7 linked regions of the Xenopus tropicalis genome follow. The protein of the gene in region 4 purifies or fractionates together with the protein of the main gene of each other region. This does not show direct contact. Links are inferred from orthologs where the notes say so. Each region holds a gene or a part of one and is shown on either strand. Other genes may lie near its edges.

Region 1 (3,708 bases), about 68 Mb from region 4:
GTTCCTTTACCTTCAGGTCCCCATTCAGATGTGCCTTGATAGCCTAAACTTCCCTCTCCACCCATTTCACCAAGAAGAGCACCATTCTTACGTGATCTCCTCTTGCGCTTGGGCTTAGCATTGGGATCTGGCTCAGCTCGCGGCTGTCTCCGTTTCCGTGGCTTTAGAGGGTCAACAGGCCTTGCTTTGGTCTTCTTCTTACCAATACCCTCAAAGAAGTCACTGAAGGAACAACGGGACAACTCTGGGTTATGGCTGTTACATCCTCCTCGCCGACCTGGGCCACCTCCACGCCCACCTCGCCTGCGGTAACCTTGCACTCTGTGCAGAAACTGTGAAATGCTGTGAGTGTCAGGGGCTTGGTGAACAGATTCTGGCAAAGTTGGAGTCCAGCAGCGGGGAGGTGAATTGCGCCCAGCTGTTTGACTTTGTCTGTTTAAGAAAGCAAGCTTTGCCAGCACATCACTATATTCAGACTTGCTGTCATTGGCATCTGCCACATATGATGGCTGGGGAGATGGAAGTTTCTGTTTCCTTCGCCGCCGCTTCTTGACCATTTCACCCTCTGGTAATGGTGTGGGAGGCTGGGAAGTTGGAGGTGGCAGTGCTGCAGGTTCTTTGGGGGGTGGCTGGGGCAGCATTGGAGGGGTTTCACGTGCTAACACAAGGTTCTTTGGAGGCCTTCCTCTCCTCCTTTTAAGTATGATGGGGAGTTCACCAGGTGGAAACACCATGACAACATTGCGCCCATTATTCTTCATTTTGAGAAGTGATGTAGGACCAGGGCCAGACCCACCTATCAGTTCTCCTCCTTCCACACTCAATGTACTGCTGAAAGAAGACACTTTGTAACTTGTTTTGTTTCTTCTACCCACAGGCATGGGGATTTTTGCAATCCGAACCACCATCTTGCGAACTCCCTTGCGTTTTGGCTTTTTGGGGGGGCCTTCTTCTTTAGGTGTTTCCATGGAGGGGGGGTTGTTAATGGAGTGTGTAAAATGTAAGCTTTGCTCATGGAGCCGATATGCCCTTGGCTCTTCAGGGGTTCGGTGATAGGGTGGCATCACATATGCCCTTGAAAGGCTCTCTGAAGCTCGTGGCCTACCTGGTCTTCTTCGCCGTCCTCTACCAGGCCTATCACCCCTGCGTCCTCTGTGACCAAATCTACCACGGTGAGAAAAGGAGATTCTTCTGATGTTATCAACCGAAGGAGAAAAGAGCGGGAGCATCCAGGGCAACTGCTCCATTTGTGTCTCCATGAGTACTTCCCTTTCTACTGTTTTCTCTTCTTCTTGTTTGCTTTCATCTTCCCTGCTTTCCTCATCAGATGATTGTTCTTTCAAATCTGCATCTAGGCTTGCTACCCCCATATCTTTCAAATTAAGTTGATTTTCCTGGACTAATGTTATATCACCCTGTTCATTCATTTTGCCATCTGTTGGGTCTTCTGCCTCATTGTCCCCAGCCCCTTCGTCCTGCTCATCCTCAGATGATTCTTCATCCTGTTTACTTTCCCCCTGATCTTCCTCAGATGAGTCCTCGTCTTGTTTATTCTCTTCCTGATCATCTCCCGATGATTCCTCTCCTTGTTTAAGGTCTTCTTGCTCCTCTCCAGAATCATCTTCCTGTTTACTTCCATCTTGTTCCTCCCCTGATTCATCCTCATGTTTACTTTCATCTGGTTCCTCACCTGACTCATCATCTTCCTGTTTAGTGATCTTTTCCTCTCTAGGCCCCACATCTTCCATTTCACTATGGTCAAGTTCCTTTGATGTCTCTTCATTTTGGCCTCTAGTTTCTTCCACCTTTTCCAGTCTCCTTTCAATCCTCTCCTCTATCTCCCCTTTGCTCTCTGTTTGTTGAGGTTCCATCCAGGCTAGAGCTGCTAGTTCTCTCAAGACCTCTGAACTGGCAGACTCCATGGAGTCTGGGTTGGGAGAAACAGGAACTGGCTCTTTCTCGACAGTCTCAGATGGCTTTTCCTCTGGGCTTCTCAGACCACATGCCAAACTCTGAGATGAGAAGAAACTATATTGTAATCCTGGTTCTGCATTTTCTGACTCTGAAGGGGAGCTTGCAACATGGGTGCAATCCAAACGTACACCACTAGATTGTAGATCACTAGACAGTTGGCTGAGATCTTTCATGATGTCCATCAACCTCACTACAGGCTGTAGGTTCACGCGTCCATTACCGCACTTGCTCTTCAACAAAGCAATGATTCCATCTACTCCCAGTCTGGGGGGGCCTACTGATGGGCGGCAGAGTGGCTTGTTGGCACGGCTCCAGGCCTCATTACGTGGAGGACGTGAATTATCTTCTTGTGAAGAGGAGAGATTGGGTTCCGGATGGGCCAAAGAGGAATCTAATGAACAAATATAAAAATAAATTAAAAGTGAATGTACAATACATATATAAAATGTAGTGACGGATTCTATGGAATACAGAGCAGTTGCACAAACTTTCTAGGGGAAATACATTAGGGAAAAAACTAGTTGGCCAGAGACTGACTTCCTCATGTATACAATAGTTGAATTAACCTTATTCATTATGAGGTTTTAAGGGACTGAATAATGGGCATCCTAAGATGTCCCACATCAAGGAAATGAAAAGCAAATGGATGAAAAGCAAATTTGACATTTGACTGCTGTATACTTACTCTGCAGTTTTGTACTTCTTCCGCTGTATTTGGTGTCTCTGTGAACAGAGAAAATTTGAAATTATCATTATCATTGGCTAGAAAAACCTATGGCTATAAGTGCTAATTGATTTGGGTGTGTGTATATTTTTTTTTACATATATATATATATATATATATATAGAGCTGAAGCAGAGTGCCTCTTAGCTCGGGTGCAAGGTAAATGATTTAAATATCCAAAAAAGACCAGCAACACCGAGTTATGTTCCAAAAACAATCAATTGTGTATTAAAAACGCATGAACAGCCAACGTTTTGCTGGTTCACTATGGATAAGTAGAACATGGGGTTGGTTAGCATGGTTGCCTTGAGAAAGGTCCCGATGGGGACCGAAACGTAACGTTGGCTGTTCATGCGTTTTTAATACACAATTGATTGTTTTTGGAACATAACTCGGTGTTGCTGGTCTTTTTTGGATATATATATATATATATATATATATATATATATATATATATATATGTGTGTGTGTATAAAAAAAAAAAAGGAATCACATCACATAATACCTTTTGTGATTCCTTCTTTTGCAAATAATGTGTGCCGCATCTTTTTCAACTGTATCTATTGTGGAGGGACATGACGGTATCCTGAAGTTGCTGAGCACCGGAATTTACACTATGGGATGAGTGCGGTGACGTTTGTCTTTTTAAGGTATATATATATATATATATATATATATATATATATATATATATATATATGAGTGTGGAGCAATAAATTATGTTACTCTTTGAACTACTTGGAGCCGTGAGTGCCTTCTATGTACAGTATATGTATTTGATTTGGTGAGCACCCGGCGTATGCCTTGTAAGTGGTGAGTGCCTTCGAGAAGAATTATATATATATATATATATATATATATATATATATTATTATACATACAGTGGCTTGCAAAAGTATTCGGCCCCCTTGAACTTTTCCACATTTTGTCACATTACAGCCACAAACATGAATCAATTTTATTGGAATTCCACGTGAAAGACCAATACAAAGTGGTGTACACGTGAGAAG
Region 2 (4,506 bases), about 34 Mb from region 4:
AACTTTAATTAGATTGTATTTTATTATACCAAGCAAGCCTAAATAATTGCTAGGTTTACATGCATATAACACACTTAACTTTCTACAATGTTGCTACTTGCATTAATTAATAAGAAACGGAGTTGGCGCTCAAAAAACAAACTACCAAGTGTATAAATTTATATCAATCTATTAGTGTTTAATCATACAATAATTCATTACAATAAAAATAATCTCACATAAATACATAAACCTTGTATTAAAAAATATAAATAATTACAATACATAAAGTGAAAATCAGAAATTCAATTGAAAAGCTAAAATGGAGAAATGTGACTAAACCTATCAGTTCAATGGAGGATGAAATAGGAACAATATATTAATTCATATGAGGATAGGTTAAAAAAAACTAAACGTTGGCATTACTAAAAATACATATACATAAGATCAGTTGGTTAAAAGGTAGGCAAAAGAACTACCAAATGAATCAGATATACTGGATAAATCTGTAACAGACTGCTACACTAAGCACAGGAGGGGATGGATTACTACATAAATGCCCAGTCTATAATTAAGTGAAAAGTTGCGACTTCATAACTGCCTAATCGAAGGATACAGCAATAATATGGGGAAAAAAAGGCCCCAGTTGGGGAGCTCACTCCCAAACGGACACCCAATTAGGAAGGAAACTGTCCAATAAGATTATAAGGGCAAACACTCGTGTATGCACCCTAACATGTGGCGCTTGCAATGTGAGGTATCACCAAAGGCTACAATATAAGTACAGGCACCTCCTAGACCTTAACCTGGTGCTGAATAGATCCCCCACACCCTACAGGTGTTAGCTAGAATACCCTCTGTCCCGGCCGGGAACTTACTGTGGGTCTAAACACTGGGAGGATCGAGCTCCTTCACACGGCACAGCACGGATTCCCTTCTTTCGGTGACGTCACCGATGTGAGCCGAATGCTTAGCTACGGGTCCTCCCAGGTCTCAAGGTCCACACAAATTTATATATATCAATATATGGCGTGCACCAATGAAGTGGGGGGGGGTTACAAGAGAATGACTTGTTAATTAATGCTACTTGCATTAATTAACAGAGGGAATGGTGTACCCTCTGTTAAAAAAGTAAGGATATTAGAATTTGCCAAGGAGTTCCACAACCATATAGAGACAAGAGCCTGTGGACAAAAGGTATGGCGTATGTAATACACATCCCACATCACCAAAACTGATTCAAACTCATATCCTTAGGCACTGTTAGAAGTTTTTTTCAGATTATTTTACAGGCTGTTGTCTTTTATAAGCCTACTGTGTATAGTATTACAAGAAAACATTGTCAGAAAAAAATCACAATCATCATTAACGGGGGAAAATACCCTATTTCTATGTAGGGTTCCATTTTAATGTATTTGATCCATAAAACACTGTGCAAATAAATATGATGCCTTACTGTGTGCAATTTTATATGCCTTGTCTTCATATATATATATATATAAAAGTAACAATAGGGCTGCCAAATAAAATACCGCACCCCTGCCCCAACATGCAACCAAAACTATGCTTCCAGGGTTCCTCCTAAGTGACCAGCCCACAATGCATGTAGTCCAAGTACCATACCTGGGGGATACAGGATACAGAGCAAGTAAATTCACAGATTATCCCGCATGCCAGGACACTGCACTTTGCACGTGCACAGATAACTGCATGCCATACAGGAATTGTGGCTTTTTTGAGCATTTTTTCCTGATTTAATCTTACCTCCACTTTTCTAATGAAAACAAATCATCAGGTTATTATAAAAAACAAAGTACTTTACTATTGCATGAATTATACTGTAATGCACCTGTAAAGGTAGCCATACACGCACAGATAATATCATACGAAACCTCGTTTCGTACGATATTCGGTGCGTGTATGGTATGTTGGCGAGTCGACCGATATCGCAGGAAGCTGCTGATATCGGACGACTTGCCGATTGGACCAGTTTGAAAATTTTGATCAGGCGCCATAGAAGGCGCCTGACCAAAATCTCCCTTCAGCGCTGAATCGGCAGAAGGAGGTAGAAATCCTATTGTTTCTACCTCCTTACCTGCCGATTCAGCCCTGAATGGTGTGTGGCGGATCTGACGATGTTTCGTGCAACCGATGGTCAGATCGCCACGCCACTCTTTATTACATATAATATACATTTTTGTAATCGAGCTTTATTTGGAGTCTGTCACATGTTTTCAAACAATGAATAAATGGGATAATGTACTTGTATACACACTGTGTACAGTCCTTATGTTTTGAGAAAATAAAACTACTGTGTCACATGAGAATGACAATGGTTTGCATCTCTCGGCACTGAGGCACATGAGAATGGCAGGTAGGATCACCACAGAAGGGGACATCTCTATTACATTGAGATGCATTGCAGATACATTGCAAATCTGTACCAGGCCCTTATGGAGACGAAAAAACATTGCTAAAAAGGTAATCACTACTTTCCTGTCCTTTCTTTTACCCCATTTTACTAGTATTTTAGATTTTATGTCCCTATTTTCTGTGCTTAATTACAAACCAGTGTCTAAGGATGTAATTACTAATAGAAAACATCTCTCTAACCCAAGCAGCTAGGTTTTAGCCCGATAGAATCGCATTCCCACCCACCCAGTCCTGTGCAGCTCTACGGGGCTAAAACCTCCGTGACAAAAAGAGCATTACTGAAAGCTGTGTAAGGGAAAGAACATGCATGCATATTGCACTCTAAGCTCCTGCCCCTTACGGAGTCTGCAGCTCTCTAAGCGAAAGGGGTCAAACTAGCCCAAATAAGTGCAGACTGCCCAACACACACACCTATTTTCCTATAACAACAGTCCAAGATCGCTACTTACACCTACCACAAAGCTGGTAACTGCAAGCTCCTGGCCGCCTCTCTTGCGGAAAATCCCGACGCCAAATCCCGTCTCATCACGCGAGACTGGCATCACGACTTCACGTAAGCGCAGTGACGCATCACGTAGCCGCATTGCGCAAGTGACTAGCGGAGACTGCGTAACTTTGACACCGTGGTCGTACCGCCTTCTTTTGTTAGAAAACAAATAATAGAAAAACAAACTTTTGTTTCATGTTGGTTGTTCGCCATGCACTCCCAATATAGCCATTTATATTTTTGCTTAGAGTTACGCTTTTTGCTAGGGAACAAAAGAAATATATATATATATTTTATTTATTTCTGGTTGCCATCTGTACATGGTGCTGTCGGAGCCTCTTCTGTTAATTTGACAGAAAAAGAAAACTTTATTTTTGTGCAAACTGGGGGTGGTTGAAATGAAGTCACTTTTTTTAGTTTAATTATACTTTGATGGTTCCACACACACAATGGGCAGAATTTTCACAATTCAGGAACAAAACAACTTCAAGGCACGAATAAGAAACTGACCAAGTAAACCACCTTCAGTACCATGCTGGCCCAGTTTCCACTGTTTCAGGAATGACTTGGCCCACACTGGCTGTCGCCAAGTTACCTAGACATTGATATTTTGAGTTCTGCTCCAGTATTTAAAGACAAGGACAGTATTTTTCACAATTTGGGACAATGTATGGCCTTTAGGAGAGTCTAATGGGTACCTACAGTAATCTTTTTAGTCTTTTTTGTGGTGGTGTCAGGAGCTTCCAAGACATTTGTTTCCTGCCAGAAGTGCCTGCCGTCATCAGAGCCTTTTTACCAATTTGACCAAGAAGGAAAGAGTTTTTATGCAAACTAGAGTCAGATGAAATGATGAAATCTTAGGTAAAAAGACTCCTTTTGGCACATAGAGGTGAAGAGCCCCCAGTGGTTGTGCATTAATATGACACAGATCTTTATACTGAGGCCTTGGGGGTAACACATCTTCCTCAGGCGAATGATGGGAACAAGATTTCCATAAAGAAAGTTTAGTAAAATTGTTAACTGAGGGCCCAACAGCAACACATGTATAGGCCCAACACTCCTCAAGCAAATGCTGCAATTGCATACCTAAAATACCTGCTATCGTATAAATGGTGTGCAGGATAGGGCAATTATTAGGGCAGGGTAGAATAGATTTTTTACTTTAAAAATGTTAGTGTTACTTTTCCTTTAAGTGGCTCACTTTTGCAAGGGGATGGAAGATTTAAACTATGAGGTGAGACTGTCGAGGTTGAGGTTGTTTTCTCTGGAAAAGAGGCGCTTGCGAGGGGACATGATTACTCTGTACAAGTACATTAGAGGGGATTATAGGCAGTTGGGGGATGTTCTTTTTTCCCATAAAAACAATTAACGCACCAGAGGTCACCCCTTTAGATTAGAGGAACGGAGCTTCCATTTGAAGCAGCGTAGGTGGTTTTTCACGGTGAGGGCAGTGAGGTTGTGGAATGCCCTTCCAAGAGATGTGGTAATGGCAGATTTTGTTAATGCCTTTAAGAGGGGCCTGGATGAGTTCTTGATCAATCAGAATATCCAAGGCTATTGTGATACTAATATCTACAGTTAGTACTAGTGGTTGTATTTATAGTTTA
Region 3 (3,708 bases), about 130 Mb from region 4:
CACATTGTAGGTCAATTGCAGATTGTTTTTGAATGTCACTTTATAGGCAATATTAAAAATTCATCATGCAGCAACTCTCCAATATACTTAATCCAAGTCATTATATGTAAATATAACTGATATTACAAGCAGTATCTGTGTGACATTTTCTGCACTGCTGGCTCTAACCCCTAAAACAATGTAGCAGAAGCCAGCTGCTTAATGAAGCTGCAAGAAAAACTGACTTCTGCTACATTGTTTCAGTGTCAGAACCAGAGAAAAGAAAGGGGCAGGCAGCCTCTGCTTTCACTGGCAATTACATTTCCACATCAATATAAAACCAATGAAAATGCGTAATGGAACGTTGCTTAGAATTGTATTTTCTTATGCTGGAGTTGTCCTTTAAATAAAGGATTTACCTAATTATGGTTAAAATGGTCTTGGGTTGGTGAATGGCAGCCAATTCTGTGCAGTTCCTCACTCATGTGATTGTGTTTCAGGATAATGCGAGTTTACAAGACGGAGACCAAGAGAGTTGCTTATAACGTGAGCAAGATGGCGTCTGCTCCTGGCGCTGACGGAGAGGTATTGCCTTTATTCCCTCTGTGCCCGTTTTGGCTTCTACAGACTATTCTGTGCCTACACGTGGCTCTACAAGGGCTGATAAAAGCAGCCTATGGACTGAGTACGGGGCCCTTCAATGGGCCTATTCAGTCGATATCTGGGCAGTTTGATTTTCCCATTGGATCAAGGACCACATCAATGCACACATACAGTCCTCAATCCAGCGGGAAAAATCAAAGTGCACAGATATCAGCATAGCAGCAATTATGATCCAAGGTCAGACAATTGGATCAACCCAATACCACCCAACCCAGGGTGGGCATATTGGAGAACGATTTGCTTGTTTGGTGGCCTCGGCAGACAAGCAGATCTTGCAATGTATGGGCCAGCTTCAGACTTGCACTGATTTCACCTTTGTAACATATGTGCTCTGATTAGTGGCCGATTAGCAGTATCCTTGCATGATTGGCTCACATAGATCTTATATATTTTAGTCTTTGTCTCCCCCCTGGGGCGTGTCAGAATTATTCATTAGTTTTGTTTTCATGGCAGGTAAAAAGTTTCCGCATGTACCATGATGACAGCATGAAGTCCTTCTTTAGGAGATTGACTTTCACTCCTGATGGATCTCTGCTTATAACCCCAGGTTTGTACCCTGTGCCTCTCTATGTGTCCCACACCTGCCATGTCATTCTCTATGGGATGCTCCCCCTCTCCCCAAGTAGCATTCATTATTCTGTTCTAGTGCAATTATATCTGAGAATAGATACCCTCTTCAAGGACCAGCAATCTGTGGGTTCTGGCAAATGCCAGAGGGGCTGCTGTATGATGCCGTAGACAGTCACTATTTATTGGGCTGGGGAGTGCTGTTTTGGCCTCCATGTACTTAAAATGCCAGGGTCTGTTTTTAGTCCCAGTCCAGGCTGGTAGTCACAAGCTGCTAATGAGTCCGGCTTCATGGTTACACATTCTGTTGCATGGTAACGCGTGGCTGCAGTTTATATAAACAAAGTTGCCCTGCACTGGTAAAAGTTGTGTGTGTGCCTCAGAATCCCTACTATAGTTTATATAAACAAAGCTGCTGTGTAGCCCCGGGGGCAGCCATTCAATTTGAAAAAAGGAGAAAAGGCACAGGTTACATAGCAGATAACAGATGCGTTGCATAGATTCCCATTGTATTCTACAGAGCTTATCTGGTATCTGCTATGTAACCTGTGCCATTTCTTCTTTTTTCCGGCTTGAATGGCTGCCCCAGGGCTACACAAGCAGGGTATTTATATAAACTATAGTAGGGTTTCTGTAGCAAACACCCCAGCTGTACCAGTGCAGGAATGGCTGCCCCTGGGGCTACACAGCGGGGTATTTATATAAACTATAGTAGGGTTTCTGTAGCAAACACCCCAGCTGTACCAGTGCAGGAATGGCTGCCCCCGGGGCTACACAGCGGGGTATTTATATAAACTTTAGTAGGGTTTCTGTAGCAAACACCCCAGCTGTACCAGTGCAGGATTGACTGCCCCCGGGGCTACACAGCGGGGTATTTATATAAACTATAGTAGGGTTTCTGTAGCAAACACCATGGGCATATTCTCTGCCAGCATTTTTCAGCAGGCAAATAAGTACACAGATATGCAAACTAGTTGTTGCTAAATTTTTACTCCCATGATCCTTAGTTAAGGGTGGTCACAGGCCCAGACAGCTGGAAGTTGTGCAACTGCACAAAAGCAGCAGGGGAAGCAATTCAGTGTCAGTGTTGCGTTCAGCTTAGCTCTGTGCTCTTGCTTTCAGCTGGCTGCGTGGAATCCGGGGAGTCGGTCATTAACACCACGTACGTCTTCTCTAGGAAGAACCTAAAGCGGTAAGTTCCTGGATGTATAACCTGTGATTGCCAGCATCCTCCCAGCAACAATATCAGAAGGGTTGCCCAGCTGAATGAGCCCCTTGTCTTCTGATATATTTCTTTCTTTATCTCCCTAGACCAATGGCACATCTCCCCTGCCCAACAAAGGCCACCCTGGCTGTGCGCTGCTGTCCTATTTACTTTGAGCTGAGACCAACTGTAAAAGGTATGATCCTAGGGAGCATCACAAAGCATGCTGGGACATCCAGAGATTAAACCTCTTATCCCAGGAACCGGGAGGGGAAAATGTCAATAACATGAAATTAAATTATTATTATTTATTTTTTAAAAAGATGATTCTGGGGAGTCCCAACCGCAGGGTCTCATCACCCAGCCATACCGTATGGTGTTTGCTGTCGCCTCAGAAGACGCTGTTCTATTCTATGATACACAGCAGCTGTTCCCTTTTGGCTACGTGTCTAATGTGCACTATCACACACTGAGCGATATTTCATGGTATGTACATGTACAGATTATCATATCAGGGCACTAAAGGCTCCCTGCCTATACCATACCCAGCCCCTAGGTTACATGTTTTACTGACTGAGAAACTCTGAATATGACCAATGTATAGGGGCAGGTACTACAGTTTCCTACATGTCCTTCCAAGCACCCAAAAGACCTTGAGCTTATAGGGTGCTACATTGAACACCCCCATTAAAAGGGTGCTTCACCCCTTAATGTTAACTTTTAGTATGTTATAGAATGTTCTATTCCTAGTAACTTTGCAATTGGTCTTTATATTTTGTATTATTTGCTTCCCTCTTGTACATCTTTGCAGTAAGGCTGCAATTTTACTATTATTATTACTTATCATTTTACTCTCCTTTTCATATTCAAAGCTTTCCACCGGTGACTCCTATTGTTGCTGGTGAAAAGCTGTTTCGGAGTGGTAGTCACCCGTGATAGCAGAGATCTATCTCTTAGCCACTGCCACCCTAACCCACTAACTGGCTGCTAAGGTAAACAAGACCCTAACAACCAGATAGCTGCTGAAAATCCTAACTGGAGTACATTTAAACAAACTGCTAAATAAACAAGACCATAAAAAATGAAAACCAATTGCAAATTGTCACCAAATATCAGTCATGCTAAAAGTCAATTTAAAGGTTAACCAGCCCGTAGTAAAATTTTAGTTTCTATAGTTACCGGTCTGAAAGCTTCCAGGAAAGGAAGAAAAATTGACCATCTGATTTCAAACCTATATTTTCTCCATGTTATCAGTTCTAGTTTCTGTACTTGGGGTTTCACCCTGTGTTTGCCTG
Region 4 (4,381 bases):
TGATGCCTTTACAATTTCTGAAGTAAAAAAAAAAAAAAAAAAAGCAAAATGATATAGAGCTTTTTATACATATATGGGAGGAAAAAAAATACATCATAAAGGGGAACTCCGAAAATTTGTTAAAGAGCCCCAAACATCACAGAAACCCCTAATACACCTATCACTGTAATCTGTTCCTTCAAAAAGTATAAACAAATACCATTTTTATATGCTGAAATCCAGCTTCAAAACAGTTACCTTTCTGCATCATTTGAAATCCTGGTGGGAGAGGAGGGACTAAAACATTGATGTTACAAATAGTAACAAGTTCTCAACAGCTTACAGACAGCATGCAAGAACTACATAACCCACAATGCACTGCACTATGATGTACCATTGCTTACTGACATCACGTCGGCAGGGGATTGTGGGATTTGGAGGTTGCAGGTTAAGAACAGTCGACTACTTTAACAGCCCAATAGGCTTGTTTTGCCTCCAGTAAGGATTAAATTATATCTTAATTGGGATCAAGTACAAGGTACTGATTTATAATTACAGAGAAAAGAATTACAAATTAGAATTATTTGCATATAATGGAGTCTATGGGAGTTGGCCTTTCCGTAATCCGGAACTTTCTGGATAATGGGTTTCCAGGTAAGGGATCCCATACCTGTATATTAAAAATCATGAAATTGCTGCATATTTTTTAATTGATGTATATTACAAAGTTACTCTTTAAAACGCTTAAGTTGTGTTTGGGTGGAGTTCCACCTTAAGTTGCAAAAGCAACCTGAAATAATAAAGTCATCAAACAGTACATAAGAGTGAAAGTTAAGAGCAATTTCACTCAGTTATCTTAACCCCTTTGTGGTCAAGTGGTAAACAGAGATGTCACCTGCCCTTCCAAAGTAGACTGTGTACAGGGGCTTTTTTATGAACACTGGCCAGTAACCTATGGCAACCACATTTTTGCTTTTCATTGTTCAATCTGCAGTCATGGATTGGTTGCTATGGGTTACTGCCCATGTGGAAATCTGCCCACTGTTTATACATGTTTACTGTTTATATACATAAGATGTCTACAGTCTAAGAATAAAGTATACAAAGGCACATTTAAGCCCACATGTCCAGCCTGTGAACCTCCTGCTGTTCAACTACTACTCCCTATACTCCAGCAGACTTTATCTGGGAGTCTGGACTAAAGGTGGCCATACACCGTAAGATCCGATATTCTCTCGATAGGCCCCCTACGAGTGGGTGATATTGGGCTAATTCAACTTAGGGCCAAACAATTGAATTAGAATGGTGGGCATAGGCACCATCAGTTCAGAGACTGCATAAACGAGCCGACACGGTCCCCAATTCAATGTAAATATCAAACCTGCCCGATTTCAAGTCAGATGTCAGTTGGGGCCTGTTGTTGGTGCCCATGCATGGGCAGATAAGCTGCCAAATCAGTCTAAAGGACCAATATTGGCAGCTAAAATTGCCCAGTGCATGGACACCTTAAGATTCATAATAGGCCCTGGTATTTGACATACACGGAGGCCCAATCCCCTCCACTGGCCCAATAAATAGTGACTGTCTACCACACCTTACTGCAGCCCCTCTGGCATTTGCCAGAATCTACAGAATTGCCAGATGGTATGGTTATAGGTTAGCATTAGTGATTACACCTAGTAAGCTTGCTGTGTTGGCATGCAGGTGTGAAGGTTATTTAAAGGAATGCCGTTGCTTAAAGTGTATTGTCATATTATAAATACACGTTCCCTTTCATTTCCCTAGGGACATTTTTCATTTTCCCTAGGTAGCAGCCTAGCTGGTTGTAAGCATAGTAGTTTTTAAGCTCCTGCCATAGACCCCCTTCAAGCCTCATGTAAGCAAGGTATTTACTTTATTTACAGGAGGTGAGATTGATAGAAATGCCTAGAGCTGGTCTGAGTGATGTCTGAAGCCATTTTGCAACGCTCTTATTTGCGTTGCATGCGCCCCCCTCCAAGGGCAGAATTTCTGAATATAGGCACTCTTCATTTAACAGAAAAGTGTGGAATTGCTGCAAATAGCCTTAACCTATGGAGACAACTGCATAGAAACTGCTTTTCTGCTTCAAGTGATACCAGTAAGTTATGTGCCTGGTGTAAAGCTGCTGTACTGCGTGTTGCATGTATTACCATTTCCATAGCCACAGGCCATGGTTTTACTTGGGTTAGGGATGCCCAACCCCTGGCAGACTGTTCCTGCTGAACTACACCATTCTGACCTGCTGGCTGATATGTGCAGACATAGCTCACAGCAGCTGGAGGGGTGCAGAAGAGCAGACGTTCCATATGTGATTGCTGACACACAATGATGATGGAATGAATGGAGGACTCACATCAACATCCAGCTGTTGTACTACACCTCCCCCAACTGAACAGCTGGATGTTGGCCATGCCCGATATCTGTATACAGAGAATATACAACAGAATCATGCCATACAGGTTTTTATTGTATAATAGTCCAATAGGACCAGCCCAGGATACAATACCAGGGGGAGAGAGCAATGGGTATTGCCCAGCGCTGTCTGTAAGCCCCAGGTAAGTACCTAAGTTAAGCCTCGCACTGTCGCTGCCCGGCTACACGGCTGAACGGTACAACACGTTCCTCCCAAAGTTTGCGAATGACCCCCAAGCTTCCGCCAATCAGCAGCGCCCCTTGTCTCCCACATCACTGTCCCTGTCTCCCACAATGAAGCCGGGGCACCCCATTATTCGCACAGTGCCAGCAGCAGCACCTCACACAGCCAATGAATGGGAAGGGCCGAGGAGGGGTGGGAGGCAGCGAGTTGTACTCACCTTCCTGCGCGAAATACACCGTGCGCCCACCGAAAGCTGCTCGCTAGCAGGAATTGAGTGAAGGCTCTTACCGAGCGGTACTGTGCGCAGCCAGCGACCAAACCCCGCCAAAAACAACCCACTAGACGCATGCGCAACACCGCCCTCCAGCCTAAAGGAATGCCCCTCCTCGGGTACACACTATGCCCAGTCCGTGCCATACTGCAGCCTAACCATTCACCAGAATTCATAACCAAAGGTTGAGGCCCTATAAAATGTAATTTCAATGGCTAGAACCAAATCTGCCCGAACTTCTATAAAACGAGCACCGGGCCAGTACGGAAATCTCTGTATAAAATATGCACACCGATAATCACTCGCCCAATGAGAAAACGGGGCGTACCAGCACCTCACTTAGGCCGGACAAAAGGACTGACTAAACGTACCCGATTTCTTTTCCCCTCCTCCTCAACGTCTTAACCAATCGCTGAAGTTAAACGTCACGCTAGTTGCCCAATCGACGATGCCTACGCAGACAGCGACCAATTAGGAGGCAAGTGGGCGTATTCTGGCGCACTAAATATACATTGCCATTGCGCTATAATCCCCCACTCTTCCTTCCTGTCGCTTCTCTTTTGTTTCTGCTGTTGTTGAGTTAACATCGGGGAGAGTCACCATGCACAAGTCCGAGGTAAGGCCTAGCGCCAGTGCATAATGCATTCGGTTCTTTTTATCATAGTCGTTTAGTTTTACGCCTTCTAGTTATGGGCATAAGTATCAGTAGGAGTGTTGGCGCCTTTTTGGGCCAGGTTTTTTTTTGTATGCTGTATATATGAGAGTGCTACGGTAGGTCAGGCTATATTAGATAACGACTAAATTATGTGAATAACATGTAGGCCCTGGCTGGGGATTTTCTTTAGACGCCGAGCTGGAAGCTTTGCGTAGAGTTCCTTTGTCTGACTCCATTTTGTGCGCTCCACCCTGCGAGGCGCTATGGTACCGCCTATTTTCTACTCGCTTAATGGCGGCGCTGTGGCCCGTAGCTGGAAGGCGCCTTTTCTCTAACGCCACACATGATTAGGCCTCTCCTTAATACATATTAGATATTCTCTAGCAATAAATAAAAGAATACCTCTCTCTCGGATACCGTACAAATTGGTAACAGAAAGGCAAACTTATTCCCGGATTTGTAAAAACGCGTGTTTTCAGCTTCGATGTTCAGGCTAACAATATACTTATTATTCTCGCTATTTATGGCTTCTACACATTCAACTTAAATGAAACCTGTTCCTATAGAAAAAAATGACCCTTATGGTATCGCGGTGGGGGAGGGGAAACTGGTGATTCACCATTTTGGTGAATGGGTTGGTTAGGCCTAACCAGTGCACTTCCCCCACCTAGAGGCTTGGGTTGGTTAGGCCTAACCAGTGCACTTCCCCCACCTAGAGGCTTGGCTGCTAACTTTGCCCAATTAGCGAGTCTCCTTTTTAATCACTGGGCAAGTTTGCACCTAGGCAGTAACCCATAGCAACACATCAGTGGTAGTTTCACCATTCCTGCTGCTGGCTGAACAAAGGCCAAACATCTCG
Region 5 (3,708 bases), about 40 Mb from region 4:
AACAGGTGGTATCAGCCTATGTCTTTTTAGTGTCCTTTCCTCCCAGAAGGCAGATTAAACCCTCCCAGTGCTTGTGTCACCCCTGAAATGAAAGTATATTTTCAAATAAATTTTCTAAGACATTTGTATAACATTGACATAAATGTATAATCATATACCTCTTTCAGAGTTGCATTGATAAAGTCATTGAATAAAAAATTCATATTTTCATATTCGTATTTTTCGCCATATAAGACGCACCCAATTTTAAAGGAGGAATATCTAGAAAAAAAAGATTCTGAACCAAATACTGCAAAAGGCAGTGTGAAAAGGACTTACTTGGTGCATAGGCGCTGGTAGGCAGGGAAAGGGGTTACTTGTACTTAACTAATGGCTTGTCCCGAAGAGCTTACACTCTTATTACACAGTTACAATGGCCACTACACTTCCACTCCTACTCACCAATGACTTGCCCCTTGCTGGTCCCATCCTGCTTCCCCAGAACGGCCAGAGACTGCCACTCATGACAAGCCCATCCGTGCCCAATCGCCTCCTTAGAACTACATATCCCAAAATGCAGCGCGACTGGGTTGTACTGAGCAACTTGTGATTGGCCGTGCGGTGATCTTGAGCTGAAGATGTAACACGCACGCACCCCGCCCCCCTGTGGACGGAGGTGAGTGCGTGCGCGTTACATCTTCAGCTTCAGCTCAAGTGTCGGCAGGACAAGTGGAGGGAGGTACGGGGGAGGTATGCGCGATTGAACGGACATGTGTCCATGCGCGCCCGTGCTCACCTCCATTCACGGGGGATGTGTGCATATATTTGTACCGTATATTTGTCGTATAAGACGCACCAACTTTTCCCCCCCCATTTTGGGGAAGAAAAAGTGCGTCTTATACGGCGAAAAATACGGTAATTAATTTCGGATAGCCAATTGAAAATAAAGATACTCAGTGTGGACAGTGTATGTAAAGGAAAGAAAACGGAATGCTTCCCAGTATCTTTCTAAAAGAAAGAAGCCTGTTAGTTCATTGGCATAAACTTGTTAATGGCAGTTCCAGTGAGAAGCTAGATTCAAGCAGTCTTCCCAAGTCAGAATGGCTTGATAAGTACAAATAATTCTTAAATGTGCAAGCAAAATTTCTTTTCTGTGAACATCTGCATAGAAAGAATTTTCTATCACATTTTGGCATGATCATAAAAACAGGAGCATATCCTGCATACTTTTGTATGATTAAGGCAAGTAAGGCAAGAAAAACAGAAATACAAAATCATTATCTAAATCATCATCTAAAATCTGTTGTGGTCATGTAGAAGTTGATGGGAGTTGTCCTAGGCAAATTGTAAAAATCTTTATTTAATTTGTGGTTTTAGAGGTTTTCAGTTTTTTTTACAAAGATCCACAAAGATTTGTAAAAAAATGTAAAAACTATGGAAAATTTGTTATTTTGTTTATGTTCCGCATTTTAATTTGTTCATGCTTTTTTGATTTAGATGTTTTAATAAATGAGTAGACATTTTTGGTAGATGTGTGTGGTTTCAAAAACCTCTAAAACCACAAAAATCAGAATGTTAATAAATCTGCCCCTAACTGTATACTACCTCCCACATAAATGGTAAAATAAATTACATTCTCTAGTTTTTGCATGACAAATCCTGGTCACAGTTGTAACAGACACAATACCAATGTTAGTACAATTCTTACTTGGTTCAGATGAAGATGGAGTTGCTTTATTGGAGATATGGGTTTTCACATTTCTTTTGAACAACTGTACATTATTTGATGTATGCTTAACTAAATTAGGACTGCCAGAAATATCACCAGTTAATGTGGTGCCACTGTTGCTCTTCAATGTAGAAACACTTCCAATGTTGGGTGAATCTGTAGATAAGTGCAAATTTTCTTCCAGAGGAGAGGCATTCACACAGACAGAATCCTGTTCTGGCAGTAAACTTGATTTATTATGCATCTGTTCTGCAAGTTTTTGGCAGTATGTTCTATCACGTTTGCTTTTACTTGGAGAAGAAATCATATTCACAGGACTTTTCTAGAGATAAACAGATAATACAGAATTCACTAGTGCTATAAGTTCCGTAGTTAAAATGTTATAAAAAGACTCAATACAAATACAGTTTTTTTTCAAGAACAGTGATTATGATATCAGAGCTAAATTATGTACAGAATGTCAACCAGAGGTTTTAAGACTTTTTGGGTTCAACCCAAAAACTAAACTCTGTGCCATTTCATGAGGATTACCAAGGGTCATTACACTGCAATGGATTATATACTCATATCTTCCCAAATATAGTTATTTCAGAGCAATATCATTCATCCTAAATATCATTTTAATTGGTCATAAGGCAGGGCATCCAAATTTGCAGTTGTAAACCCTCCAGTCTATAGACCTAGGCATTTAGGAGCACAATGGTGTGAGAGTGTTATGCCTCCAAAGTTAAAAAGTGACCCTTAATGCTTTTTTATTGTACAAGTTTTTTTAAACACACTCTGCTCAATATGGTTCTTACAGTTTCTTGTTCAGGTTCCTTTTGAGAACTCCCACTCGTAACTTGTTCGTAATAACTCCTTCTACTGTTCGTTTCTTTTAGGGATGAATTGCTTGTATTACTAACATCTCTACACGCTTTACTTTGCTGAATTGTTTCTTGAATTCCTTTTAAAGAAAAGAAAAGTTATACTTTAACATTCTTTACAGGAACAGTAAAATCCCTCAGCCTTGTGATTCATCAGATGGGCCAAATTCTCTCCCTTGGCTGGATGGGGCATGTAGTAAAGCTGGGAAAAAGTCAGTCTCTATATACATAGATTAAGAAAAACCATAGTCTTAGGGATTATGTTTAATATGTAATGCAATTTATATAATGAACCAATGAACTGGCTTCCCCATTTATTGTAAAAAGCTCCCTTTACCACATTTTCTCCTTTACAATGCCCCCTTTTTCAATTCTACACACATGGAGTCCATTCAGGTCCCATGTGCAGTTGGTACTTCCCATTCTAGCTGAATAGAGTAGTGTAAAAAGAATAACATATTCGTTTTTAATTTTGAACAATGACTCAACAATTTTTAGAGCATTTTTGTTTTAACTTACTTATCAGTTCCACTGAACACCTTCTTGCTTTAAAGACTTCACAGGGCTCTTCTTTACTTGGTGACTTTGGCTCGTTATATACCCCCCAGAGTTCACTTCTTAAAATAAAATTGGAAACACCAAAATAGTCAAATTCATACTTGAGGATCACAGTTAATTGAAAAAAAATCCTAAATTTCAGTACATACCCCATACCATTAACAGACTGTAAATTTCAAATCAGTCCCACCACACACATGCACATTTACTCATGATCCAGCAAGCTATTGTGATTCTTCAATTAGCTAGATGAAAATAAGTACTTGGAACCAAGCAAGTAACGTGCATATTGCAGTAACTTCAACCAGTGTTGAATCAACTAAGTGGATCTTTATGGCAGCAAAGGTACAAAATGCAACTGAAGACTTCATAGCTGTAAAAGTTGTCATAATACAACCTATGCTTGGTGCGACTTTTGATAATCCATATTCACCTGCTTGTGATTTGTTTATGAATGCAGTTTGAGGAAATGCTGAAACCTAAAAGAAGCAGCTCTTTTCACATGCTACCGTAAGAGAATTAACTACAAATGACATTAGTCTAAAAGTGGCCATACACTGGTGCAGTGTACACTGT
Region 6 (4,432 bases), on a different chromosome or scaffold from region 4:
ATGGCAAGTGGGGGTGGTCATGGCATATAAATATTTTTCATGGCAAACTATGCATGCCACAGGCCCCTTCCTGACCCTGGATTTCACTTTGGAAAGCTGGTAATCTTACAAATTAGCCTTACTTATAGACACCCTCTCTTAAAGGTGAAGGACAACCCTAGGACTACCTGCTCATCTGTTCTGAACACAATTCTAAAATTAGCAGAGATAACAGAAAGCTTTTGAACTTCACTGAGTCTTCAACATTATAAAATAATGATTGTAACTGATATTGTAACTCTTCTGTGGCAGTATGAGCAATTCTCTTCATACACATTTGAAGAAGTCCAAATATCTTGATTAAAGTGCTCATGCATTTAGAAAAGGAAACCTTTAAAAATACATACCATAGGGTAATGTGTATAATAGTTGTACCCTGTAATTAGCATTTTTTCAGATTGAGTTGTATTAAAGGTGAGGTATGGCCACCTCAGTCACAATGCTGTACTTGTTACATAAAAATTTCATATTAAGCAATATTACATTAAATTAACATCTCAACGTTATTTGCTCTTAATTCATTTAAGAATCTAACACATATATAGAAAGTACAGGGCACTGAAATAACCCATGAAACCACCTAAATTATTACTTATGTGTTTCTGCTTGTACTAACCTTGCAAAGACCAAGTGTTGATTAGTTTCTAAAGGTCACTGAACCAGGCTAAATCTGCCCATATTATAACATAAAGAAATATTACTTTTTATGTGATCTCTTATGTATTTAGTGTGTTGCTTCTGAGCCAAGTTCTCATAAAACAGAAGAGGCATAAGTTGTTTACATTATAATCCTTTAATAAAGCATGGATCAAAAAAGAATGTTTAAACTGTACACAGAAACTAAAGGGTCTCAATATAGGCTTTAATAGGGGCCTCAAAATCCTTTTCTAAAAGATATTATGGATTCTTACCATAAACATATTCATGAAGGTCTACTGATAGGAGAGCAACAGGACATCCCTAATGTATGTTACATTCATAGTTAAAATCCATAAAGTCCATTAGAAAGGAGAAATGTTGGTTTAGATGGTGCTACAACTAAACCCATGCCACTAGGGTGATAATAGTCCAGTCCTGGAATTAATACATTCTAATTCTTCTTTACTCTGAATGGTAACATAAAATGTCTGGAGTGGATCACTATCACCCTAATGACATGAGGTTAGGTGGCATCTTTGCTATAGTGCAGCCACTTGTCTTTATGTGGAGATGGACTAATATGACTGTCATCCTTTAATGAATATAAAGAATGGCTAGAAATACTGTTATTTTTATTATTTTGAAAGAATGTAAACATCTTGTTAGGAATGAGTCATCTTGTACTTCTTGCTTGCCTCTGCAGCTATTTGCAAAATAGCTCTTCTATATAACCAGATTATTTCTCAGGAGAAGACTTCAAAATACTTATCAGATTCTGTGAAAAGCCATTTTAAGTAACAAAAAACCCCAGAAAGCATTGGGGTAAAAAAAAAAAATGCTTCTAGTAAATGTGGGTTAGTGTCTGCTCTTGCAACGACCAGCGGGAGGTGTGTGTTGTGGAAAAGCTGTGTGGACAGTGCAAAATGATTTAAAGTAATCAGTAGAACTTAGCAAGCTTCATTTTGTGCAAATCATGGAGGAACCTCGCTGAACGGCTGTGACACGAGGTTCTCTCAGAACATATGACCATTGGATTGTGAAGGCAACAACTTTCCACAAGAAGCTCTTCCTTCACTTGCTCCACCTCCTGTTATTGTTAAAGAGGGGTCAGGTTGCGTGCCTCAGCCTTAAACTTTGGGCACTTTAGCCTTATCACCTTGCCCACCACTAGTTAGACCTCGGCCCACGCTTCTCCTGGTTGCCCAGGGCTGCTGAGGCTTTGTGTGGTGTCTCCTGGAGCATATGGGCTTCCATTGTATGGCTGCACGTTGCTGCAGATAGAAAGGCTTCGCGCACCCCCTGGTGCTCTCGCGTTCTGTGTGGTAGGAGATTGTCCTCTCTCGCTCTCTCCCTCTCCCTTCTGGTTGCTCATTATTCAGAGAGGGAGAGACACACACACATACTCAGTGAGAGAGAGAGAGAGAGACGGATCTTTCAGGTCATCTGCAGCTGCAGAGCAGCAGCAGCAGCCAGTGAAGGAGAAAGAGGAGGAGAAAAAAAAGCAGGGAAGATGGCGATCCTCCATTGCTGAGACCTGGCAAGAGCACGAGAGTCAACAAACAACTTGAGACAGAAAAGGCACCATCTCCACTGCGCGTTACCACAAGGCGACGGCACGCTAAACCCTAGCGAGTACATAGAGATTGGAAGGGGACAAGGAGCAGGACAAGGAAGAGGCTGGAGCTGCAGCGTCCCGGGCACTAGTCTGTAAGTTCTCGCATTGGACTCTCCTACGCTAATGGCCATTGTTCACTCGTTGTTTTAATATCTCTGGGTTTAATGTCTTCGCTGGCTGCGAAAAGTCCTATGGTTTGCGTTACCGGGGTCAATTATTACTGTTGAGTGAAGGGGTGGGAAGACTCTCATGAGCGTTTTGCTGTCTGGAGAAGAAAGGAGGTGGTGGTGGTGGATATGGTAGTAGGAGGAGGAGAAGGGCGGCTAATTAATGAATCCATTAATTGACCCCCTTCGTCAGCCCAAACACCCCCAAGTGGTGGAGATTAAAAGGAACCGGAGGATTAAATAAATTATAAAAAAAGAGGGGGGGGGGGAAGCGACTGGCAATGTTTGCATGCACTTGCTTGTGGAGAGTTTGATCAGAAGCTGGGGAGAGACCAATACCCGCACAGGGGGAGGAATTACAACATTACTGAGCTTGGTGGCTGCACGACCCAAGCAATAGGGTGACCTCTTTCTATCAGTTTGTAACCAACCCCCTTCCTCCCCAGTTCTAGAGGTCTCCTGTCACCCCCCCCCCCTCCCTCTTGAGCTGAGATGACATGGAAGGTTGAATTCTGGGTCGGAATCTCTTGTCTAGGAGGGAGGGATAGGAGGAGGGGGAGGTTGTCGCTTAGCTCCAGGCTGGTATTTCTGTAGGGTTCGCCTGGAGGAGGAGAACAAATTCTATTCCCTGTGGTTTTAACTGAATTTAGAATCATAAATGTAGCCAATAACACTTCCTGCCCGCTTTCATTTGGCCTCAGAAAGAACATGCCCACATGCTCAGAGTCCAAAGAAGTCCCTGCTCTGCCCTTTGATCTCATTGGCTGTCATTATCTCCCTGTCCTCCATTTTCAGGCTGTCTGGGTTGGTTTGTGTCCAGACTCCAAAGCACAAAGCTTCTCTAGCATACACCCTAGCCAAGCTTTCTCTGGTAACATTCCTCTCTTCATTGTAGCTTACTGTACTCAGCTCAACAGCAGCATAAGGCTAGACAACAGAAGTGTATTTCATGTCTTTTTATGAGAAGAGCCTTCAAGCTGGGGGTTTCCTTCAGCTTTTTTTCTTCTCTGTGTGGTTTCAGTAGACTGATTTCATGTTTTAAGAGGAAGTGGCTACAGTAGTTGTTGCAGAATGCTGTTATCTGAGTCAGGTAAGCCATGTCATGCTGTAGCTCCACCAGAAAATGGAGGAGAGCAGGATCTGAAGTAGACAAAATGAGGTGGTGACAAACAACAGTATCATGGATCTTTATCATCCTAGTGGCTTGCATAAAACATTACTTCTCAATAGAATTTATTTTTCATGTTGTGTAACACGTAGCCAGAAGATTGTGTAGGAATATTTTGGAAGTCAGCAGCTTATTTTTTCAGCATGTATTAAGATTCTTTTTGGTGGTCATCATCAAACTTCTCATATTATGATCAATTATCTGTACTAAATGTGATGTTTAAAAGCCTTAATGAGTTGTTAATGATGTTGAAGTTGAGGGTATTGGTATATGTGTACAGTGAGCAAGAAATATGATGTATGCCCAGGTAATATATATAAATATGGGCATATTTTTATCCTCGGTTGATCTCAGAACCTGATGATTGTGCATAAAATGTTAAATTATCCAGAATGCCCCTTGAAAACTTGATCCAAGGTATAGTGATATGAACATTGCTTTAGCAACACAAGTATGTTATAGAAATGCAGATAGTGGAATTCAATGTAACATGAATTTGATAGCATAGTAAATTTCAGGTGGACACTCTCCTCTTCATCTACAGTTGTATGTGGTAATACTCAATAGTGATGGGTGGGTCAGAAAAAACTCAATTCACACCCAACCCTAACCTTCAAAACCTTAACCTACACCCATCCCACAAAATGTTGCCATTGTAGGACCCAACCCATAAAATGTTGCCATTATAGCACCTACACCCAACCTTCTTCATTTGTTACTTCTGCCTGCAGCTCTGGTTCCAAGACAGGGATTTTTTTTGGAGCATACTTCCCCACAATATTTGCTCAAATTAGTTTTGGGTCA
Region 7 (4,496 bases), on a different chromosome or scaffold from region 4:
CCTGCAGGATGGCTGACGCAGAACAAAAATGGATCAACACATACAGCTTTCAACATTAATAACATTTACACATAACTTTTAAAACTAATGAAATCAGGAATGCATGTATTTTGAAAAGTTAAGTTATATTTTCTTTTATTAGTCAAAAGAACTGTTTTTCAGTAGTAATTAACTTTAAAGCATGGTTACACAGTTGATAAATAATGATGGTTACTAAAGACACTTCACTCCATGGGTTCCAGGGTCCTCTAACATGCCATGCAAAAACACAGTCCTTACTACCATCCTTCTTTTCTAAAAGCTTAGAGGTAGAAAGGAGAAATGAAAACAAACCTTTTATGTCAAAATAAAGTTAAGGAAGATTGAAATGATGATCCGAGCGCCAGTTTGTTGCTGTATGTCCCACACAGTGCAAGGTGCTGCAGATAGGAATCCAAGGAAAAAGTGTAAGTGCCAATGAATTTATCCACCTGTAGAGAGAAAATGATTGAATTTTAAGCACATGGTATTTTCTTAAAAACTACAGTACCCTCTGATTCTACTCTTCCCCTCTATAGTGCCACTTACTGGGTTAGTGCTTTGATACATTAGTCTATCAGTTCAGTTATGTTTCACCCCCTTCCCAGGGCCACCCTCTTTATAATTTGGGAGTTCTGTTTCTGCACAAGTTGCACAAAACGTTGAACCCGAAAAATGCTAAAAGTAAGGTAAGGTGTTGTTATTGAATACACTATACCATGCTCTACACTAGTGATGGGCAAAACCTGAACAAACAAGGGATAAGTTAGTGGTAAATAACTAGCTGGCATAATCTGATGTGAGGTGCATAGCCCTAATGGACACAAGGAGTAAAGTAAATTGCCATGAGTAAGAAAAGGCACCAATTTGACAAGTCAGTTTTGTGACAGGGGGGCTATACCCAGGTATCCAAAGTATAGTTTTTAAGGTGTTGCTGAACCATCACTAGCAGCCTTTAGCAGAGATGCTGGGAACTGTAGCACTCAGAAGGTCCCAAGCAGTGCATCCATGCTCTACACTAGTGATGGGCAAAACCTGAACAAACAAGGGATAAGTTAGAGCCTGCACCTAGAAGCACCAGAGGGGCCTAGGGAATGTGGGAGTGAATCACTGGCTCTCTGCACAAGCAGTGCATAATGCTGCTGTCATGGGCCCTGCCGCATTCCACTCCCAAACCTATAGGAGGCGCTGTGCAGCAGCTTCCAGTTTTGCTTCAGTCTACCCATCCCCCCACCCCAGCGCCTTACCCGGCGCACAGCAAGCGCCCCCTACTGGAATGTGAGGCGCCATTTTCTAGCTGCAGTGCATCTTGGGTGGAGGCTGCCTGTTATTTTTTTTATTCCCCTTTTTCCCCCCTGCCACAGCTCGCAGCCGTGCAAATAGAGAAAACAAACAGCGCTAAAGTGCATGACTAATGCGAAGCCATCACTGTGACAGCAGGCCATGTGCAGCGCAGGAAAACACCGGCAGCAGTTCGGATCGAGCGCCTTTGTGATGGACCCCCACTACGGGGAGTGGTGCAGCCCACCTGCCGCTAAACCCTAGCGCCGGCCAGCCCATGTGTACCTGGGGAGAGGGGAGCATGCTGGTTTAAAGGTTCCTCCTACAGGATCGCGCCTTTTTGCAGCAGAAGCAGCCAGACAAGGGAGGGTGGGGGCAGCCCCTATCCCCACCCCCTCCCATATATTAACCCTTTGCCTTCATGCCACTGGGATGCCCGAGGTACGGCCCTCCGGCTTCATAACTGCACGCAATACGAAGTTCTATTTATGTAGCATGGCAGCGCCAACCCCATGCCCCCCGCTGCACCCACAGCCGGATCCTGTGCCCCTCCATGCCCGGCACCCCTCTAGCCGAGCTCCCACCGGCACTGCATGTCAGGCTGGAACTCCCCAGCAGCAGGGTGCCCACCCACACATCCCATTGGGGCACCCCAGCTAGTGGCAATGGGGGCAACAGGACTCATACTGGCACCTCCCCCATCCCTACACCCAAAGTAACAAGTCTGTCCCCACAACCATCATTATCCGCATCCAATCAGAGCTGCCCGGCACAGATGTGAGTGCTCAGTACAATAGCCAGGTATGCCCCCTGCCCACTGGGCCCATCAGCCTGCCTATCTGTCCCCACACTATCTCCATCCCCTATTTGTGTCCCTCACACTCTCTGCACTTCCACCAACTCCATTGTGCCCCGCACTTCCTGCAGCCCTCAGTGTCTCCCCAATCCTTAATAACTTCCATCTGTTCCTCACACCACCAGTAACTTTATTATCCGTAACTAGCTCTGCTCTACCCCCTGTCACCCCCCCCAATTCCTGAACTATAAATCCCATCATCCTCTATAGGGGGGATCTGGGAGTTCTAGTTCTACCTCACGTTAGGCACTCCGACTTCATGAGAAGATGCACCCCAACATACCCACCCTGTAACCATTACGCCGCTCACGGCCCCAGACATACCTGAGCCGGGGGGTTGCTTGTCAGCCCGAGGCGGTGGGCAGCCTATGGCCCCTTGGGATATGGGGGTGCCAGGCAATGCGCCTGAGCATGAGCCCCGTGTTTGTGTGTGGGAAGGGGGTGGAGTCAGTTCCCGGTGCCGGTGGCTGCAGCTGTGACTCCGCCGGGTGCACTTCCTCCTCCTGCAGACAATACAGCACGGCGGCGGCAGCGGCTCCGATCCTGCCCTGGCCAAAATGGCGGCCGCGAAGGAGCGGAAGTGACGTCAGCGCTCATTAGCATGAAGGAGGGGTGGGGGGACTCATTGTCCGGAGCTGGCGGGAGCCCGGGAAAAAACAAATACTCCACTGCAGCCGCGCACCTGGGGACCGGGGAGATGGGCATGCACAAAGGGGATCTTGTCCAGCAGGAATTTGGGGGTGAAAGAGAAAATCGGGTCACCAAGATAATCTCCCTCTCACCGCTAGGGGGCGCCTTTTGCGGACGGATACTTCAAAGACAGAAAAATTACAGTGGGAATGCGCGGTGTTCTTGGTATCCCTTCGCCACCGGCACTATTATGGGTTTGGTCACGTGGTGCTGGGTTCTCAGTGCTGCAGCCATGTGGTTTGGGTGGTGTGGAGGGAAGAGATTGGTAGGGCAGCTCCCTGACTGGGTGCCAATTTCATTGCTACTGGCACTATATCAGGAGCAAGAAGTAAGCATCCCATGAGTTACACTTCTGTGGAAAGAGGCTCATTGGGAAACTAAGTTGGCCACAGTAATGGCTGCCAAGGACTGCCAATTTACAATGGTCTCTTTGGAGGGAGGTGACATCTTCCAGCCAGTGGTCACTGTAGTTCTTGAGGATCTAACAAATGACAAGTAAAATCCCTTAGCTAGGTATTATGGTGCCAATATAGTAGGTACCACAGCATCCCTCTGGCAGTTGCAAAGCATCAGCACCTTTAGCAGAACTGATTGCTAGTTAGTAACCCATTGTGCATATAGGTGCCCTCAAAGCCAATTAGCTGCTTTCTATGGTCAACAGCCAAGCATTAAAGTCATTCTCTGATACAATCAGGACCCTATTTCATGGTATGTTTGGGGACCTGGAATATTTTCTTTCAACTAAAGTAGTTTTGGTTTGCCATTGCCCTTCTATTCTTGGGGCTTCTGATTTTCTAGACTAAAGGTAACAATACACATGCCTATTTAAGTTGCCAATTTCAGACCAATTTAGCAGCGCATCTGTATGGGCACTACCAACAGGCCTATTTATTATAAAAAAAAATAGGCAAATGTATTTAAGCATTTGATTGAATTGATTGAAAAATTAATTGAAATTATTGAAAAATGAAGACAACTTAATTCAAAGGACCAATAACCCTAAACATGATTAATCTGACTTCAAGCCTTTTATTTAATTCCAGTGTTTGCCGTCAGCTCCACTGTGTTGCAGTCTTTTATGTGTTGTCTAAACAATGCCCCACCCAGCCTATAATGTTCAGTGGATCTTTACGTGATACATATTCATAAACTGACTTAAATATAATAAAGTACAGTTCAAGTATATATTTAATGCAATAAACCAACAGTTACCATCACCAACCAGTATATTAAAAAAACAAAAAAATAAAATTATATATTACTTAAAATTGTACTCACAATTAAAGAAGATTATACAAAATTTAATAAAATCATGAATGTCCCAATCAACAGCTTAACACATACAAGCAATTGATAAAGTTCATCAGTGAAGAAGGAAAGGTAATACAGAAAAAAATCCAGTTCATCCAGGAATATAGTGGGCACCAACACATATCTTGATTGCTGATCAGAATAATCCAGACCCACCAGCAAGTACAGTCTCAGTTCCTATATTGTCCCCTAGTTTTGTGGGATTGCTTAGAATACCCAAGTTCTCATAACTAATGAGGCTCTCTTTCCCTCTGCCATCTTAATGATGGCTAAACTGACAGCATATGGTGCAGTATTCCTTTATGGTGCCACTGCTTATGCCTCTTACCCCAGTTAATTT

What was found.
Region 1: the proteins of cbx5 (region 4) and ahdc1 purify together in Homo sapiens (affinity purification with mass spectrometry; 3 studies listed by BioGRID and IntAct, with this or other methods). This does not show direct contact. The link is inferred for Xenopus tropicalis from reciprocal best matches to the Homo sapiens genes CBX5 and AHDC1.
Region 2: the proteins of cbx5 (region 4) and champ1 purify together in Homo sapiens (affinity purification with mass spectrometry; 6 studies listed by BioGRID and IntAct, with this or other methods). This does not show direct contact. The link is inferred for Xenopus tropicalis from reciprocal best matches to the Homo sapiens genes CBX5 and CHAMP1.
Region 3: the proteins of cbx5 (region 4) and chaf1b purify together in Homo sapiens (affinity purification with mass spectrometry; 8 studies listed by BioGRID and IntAct, with this or other methods). This does not show direct contact. The link is inferred for Xenopus tropicalis from reciprocal best matches to the Homo sapiens genes CBX5 and CHAF1B.
Region 5: the proteins of cbx5 (region 4) and senp7 purify together in Homo sapiens (affinity purification with mass spectrometry; 3 studies listed by BioGRID and IntAct, with this or other methods). This does not show direct contact. The link is inferred for Xenopus tropicalis from reciprocal best matches to the Homo sapiens genes CBX5 and SENP7.
Region 6: the proteins of cbx5 (region 4) and znf462 purify together in Homo sapiens (affinity purification with mass spectrometry; 3 studies listed by BioGRID and IntAct, counting the BioPlex papers as one, with this or other methods). This does not show direct contact. The link is inferred for Xenopus tropicalis from reciprocal best matches to the Homo sapiens genes CBX5 and ZNF462.
Region 7: the proteins of cbx5 (region 4) and adnp purify together in Homo sapiens (affinity purification with mass spectrometry; 4 studies listed by BioGRID and IntAct, with this or other methods). This does not show direct contact. The link is inferred for Xenopus tropicalis from reciprocal best matches to the Homo sapiens genes CBX5 and ADNP.

Annotation. Positions count from the first base shown.
Region 1 is NC_030678.2:78,101,211-78,104,918, forward strand, and holds part of ahdc1 (AT-hook DNA-binding motif-containing protein 1), read right to left. Parts: intron 2,698-3,708; coding exon 2,660-2,697; intron 2,366-2,659; coding exon 1-2,365. UniProt on the Homo sapiens protein: Transcription factor required for the proper patterning of the epidermis, which plays a key role in early epithelial morphogenesis. Directly binds promoter and enhancer regions and acts by maintaining local enhancer-promoter chromatin architecture.
Region 2 is NC_030678.2:111,847,712-111,852,217, reverse strand, and holds the start of champ1 (chromosome alignment-maintaining phosphoprotein 1), read right to left. Parts: upstream 2,991-4,506; 5' UTR 2,862-2,990; intron 1-2,861. UniProt on the Homo sapiens protein: Required for proper alignment of chromosomes at metaphase and their accurate segregation during mitosis. Involved in the maintenance of spindle microtubules attachment to the kinetochore during sister chromatid biorientation.
Region 3 is NC_030678.2:12,925,896-12,929,603, reverse strand, and holds part of chaf1b (chromatin assembly factor 1 subunit B), read left to right. Parts: intron 1-479; coding exon 480-564; intron 565-1,095; coding exon 1,096-1,189; intron 1,190-2,331; coding exon 2,332-2,401; intron 2,402-2,520; coding exon 2,521-2,609; intron 2,610-2,736; coding exon 2,737-2,899; intron 2,900-3,708. UniProt on the Homo sapiens protein: Acts as a component of the histone chaperone complex chromatin assembly factor 1 (CAF-1), which assembles histone octamers onto DNA during replication and repair.
Region 4 is NC_030678.2:145,616,361-145,620,741, reverse strand, and holds the start of cbx5 (chromobox protein homolog 5), read right to left. Parts: upstream 2,960-4,381; 5' UTR 2,814-2,959; intron 1-2,813. Other genes in the region: hnrnpa1 (heterogeneous nuclear ribonucleoprotein A1), read left to right, coding at 3,469-3,483. UniProt on the Homo sapiens protein: Component of heterochromatin that recognizes and binds histone H3 tails methylated at 'Lys-9' (H3K9me), leading to epigenetic repression. In contrast, it is excluded from chromatin when 'Tyr-41' of histone H3 is phosphorylated (H3Y41ph).
Region 5 is NC_030678.2:105,170,033-105,173,740, reverse strand, and holds part of senp7 (sentrin-specific protease 7), read right to left. Parts: intron 3,192-3,708; coding exon 3,094-3,191; intron 2,655-3,093; coding exon 2,509-2,654; intron 2,031-2,508; coding exon 1,688-2,030; intron 1-1,687. UniProt on the Homo sapiens protein: Protease that acts as a positive regulator of the cGAS-STING pathway by catalyzing desumoylation of CGAS. Desumoylation of CGAS promotes DNA-binding activity of CGAS, subsequent oligomerization and activation.
Region 6 is NC_030677.2:120,584,283-120,588,714, forward strand, and holds the start of znf462 (zinc finger protein 462), read left to right. Parts: upstream 1-1,510; 5' UTR 1,511-2,385; intron 2,386-4,432. UniProt on the Homo sapiens protein: Zinc finger nuclear factor involved in transcription by regulating chromatin structure and organization. Involved in the pluripotency and differentiation of embryonic stem cells by regulating SOX2, POU5F1/OCT4, and NANOG.
Region 7 is NC_030686.2:35,649,298-35,653,793, reverse strand, and holds the start of adnp (activity-dependent neuroprotector homeobox protein), read right to left. Parts: upstream 2,809-4,496; 5' UTR 2,480-2,808; intron 1,683-2,479; exon of another isoform or gene 1,585-1,682; intron 471-1,584; 5' UTR 334-470; intron 1-333.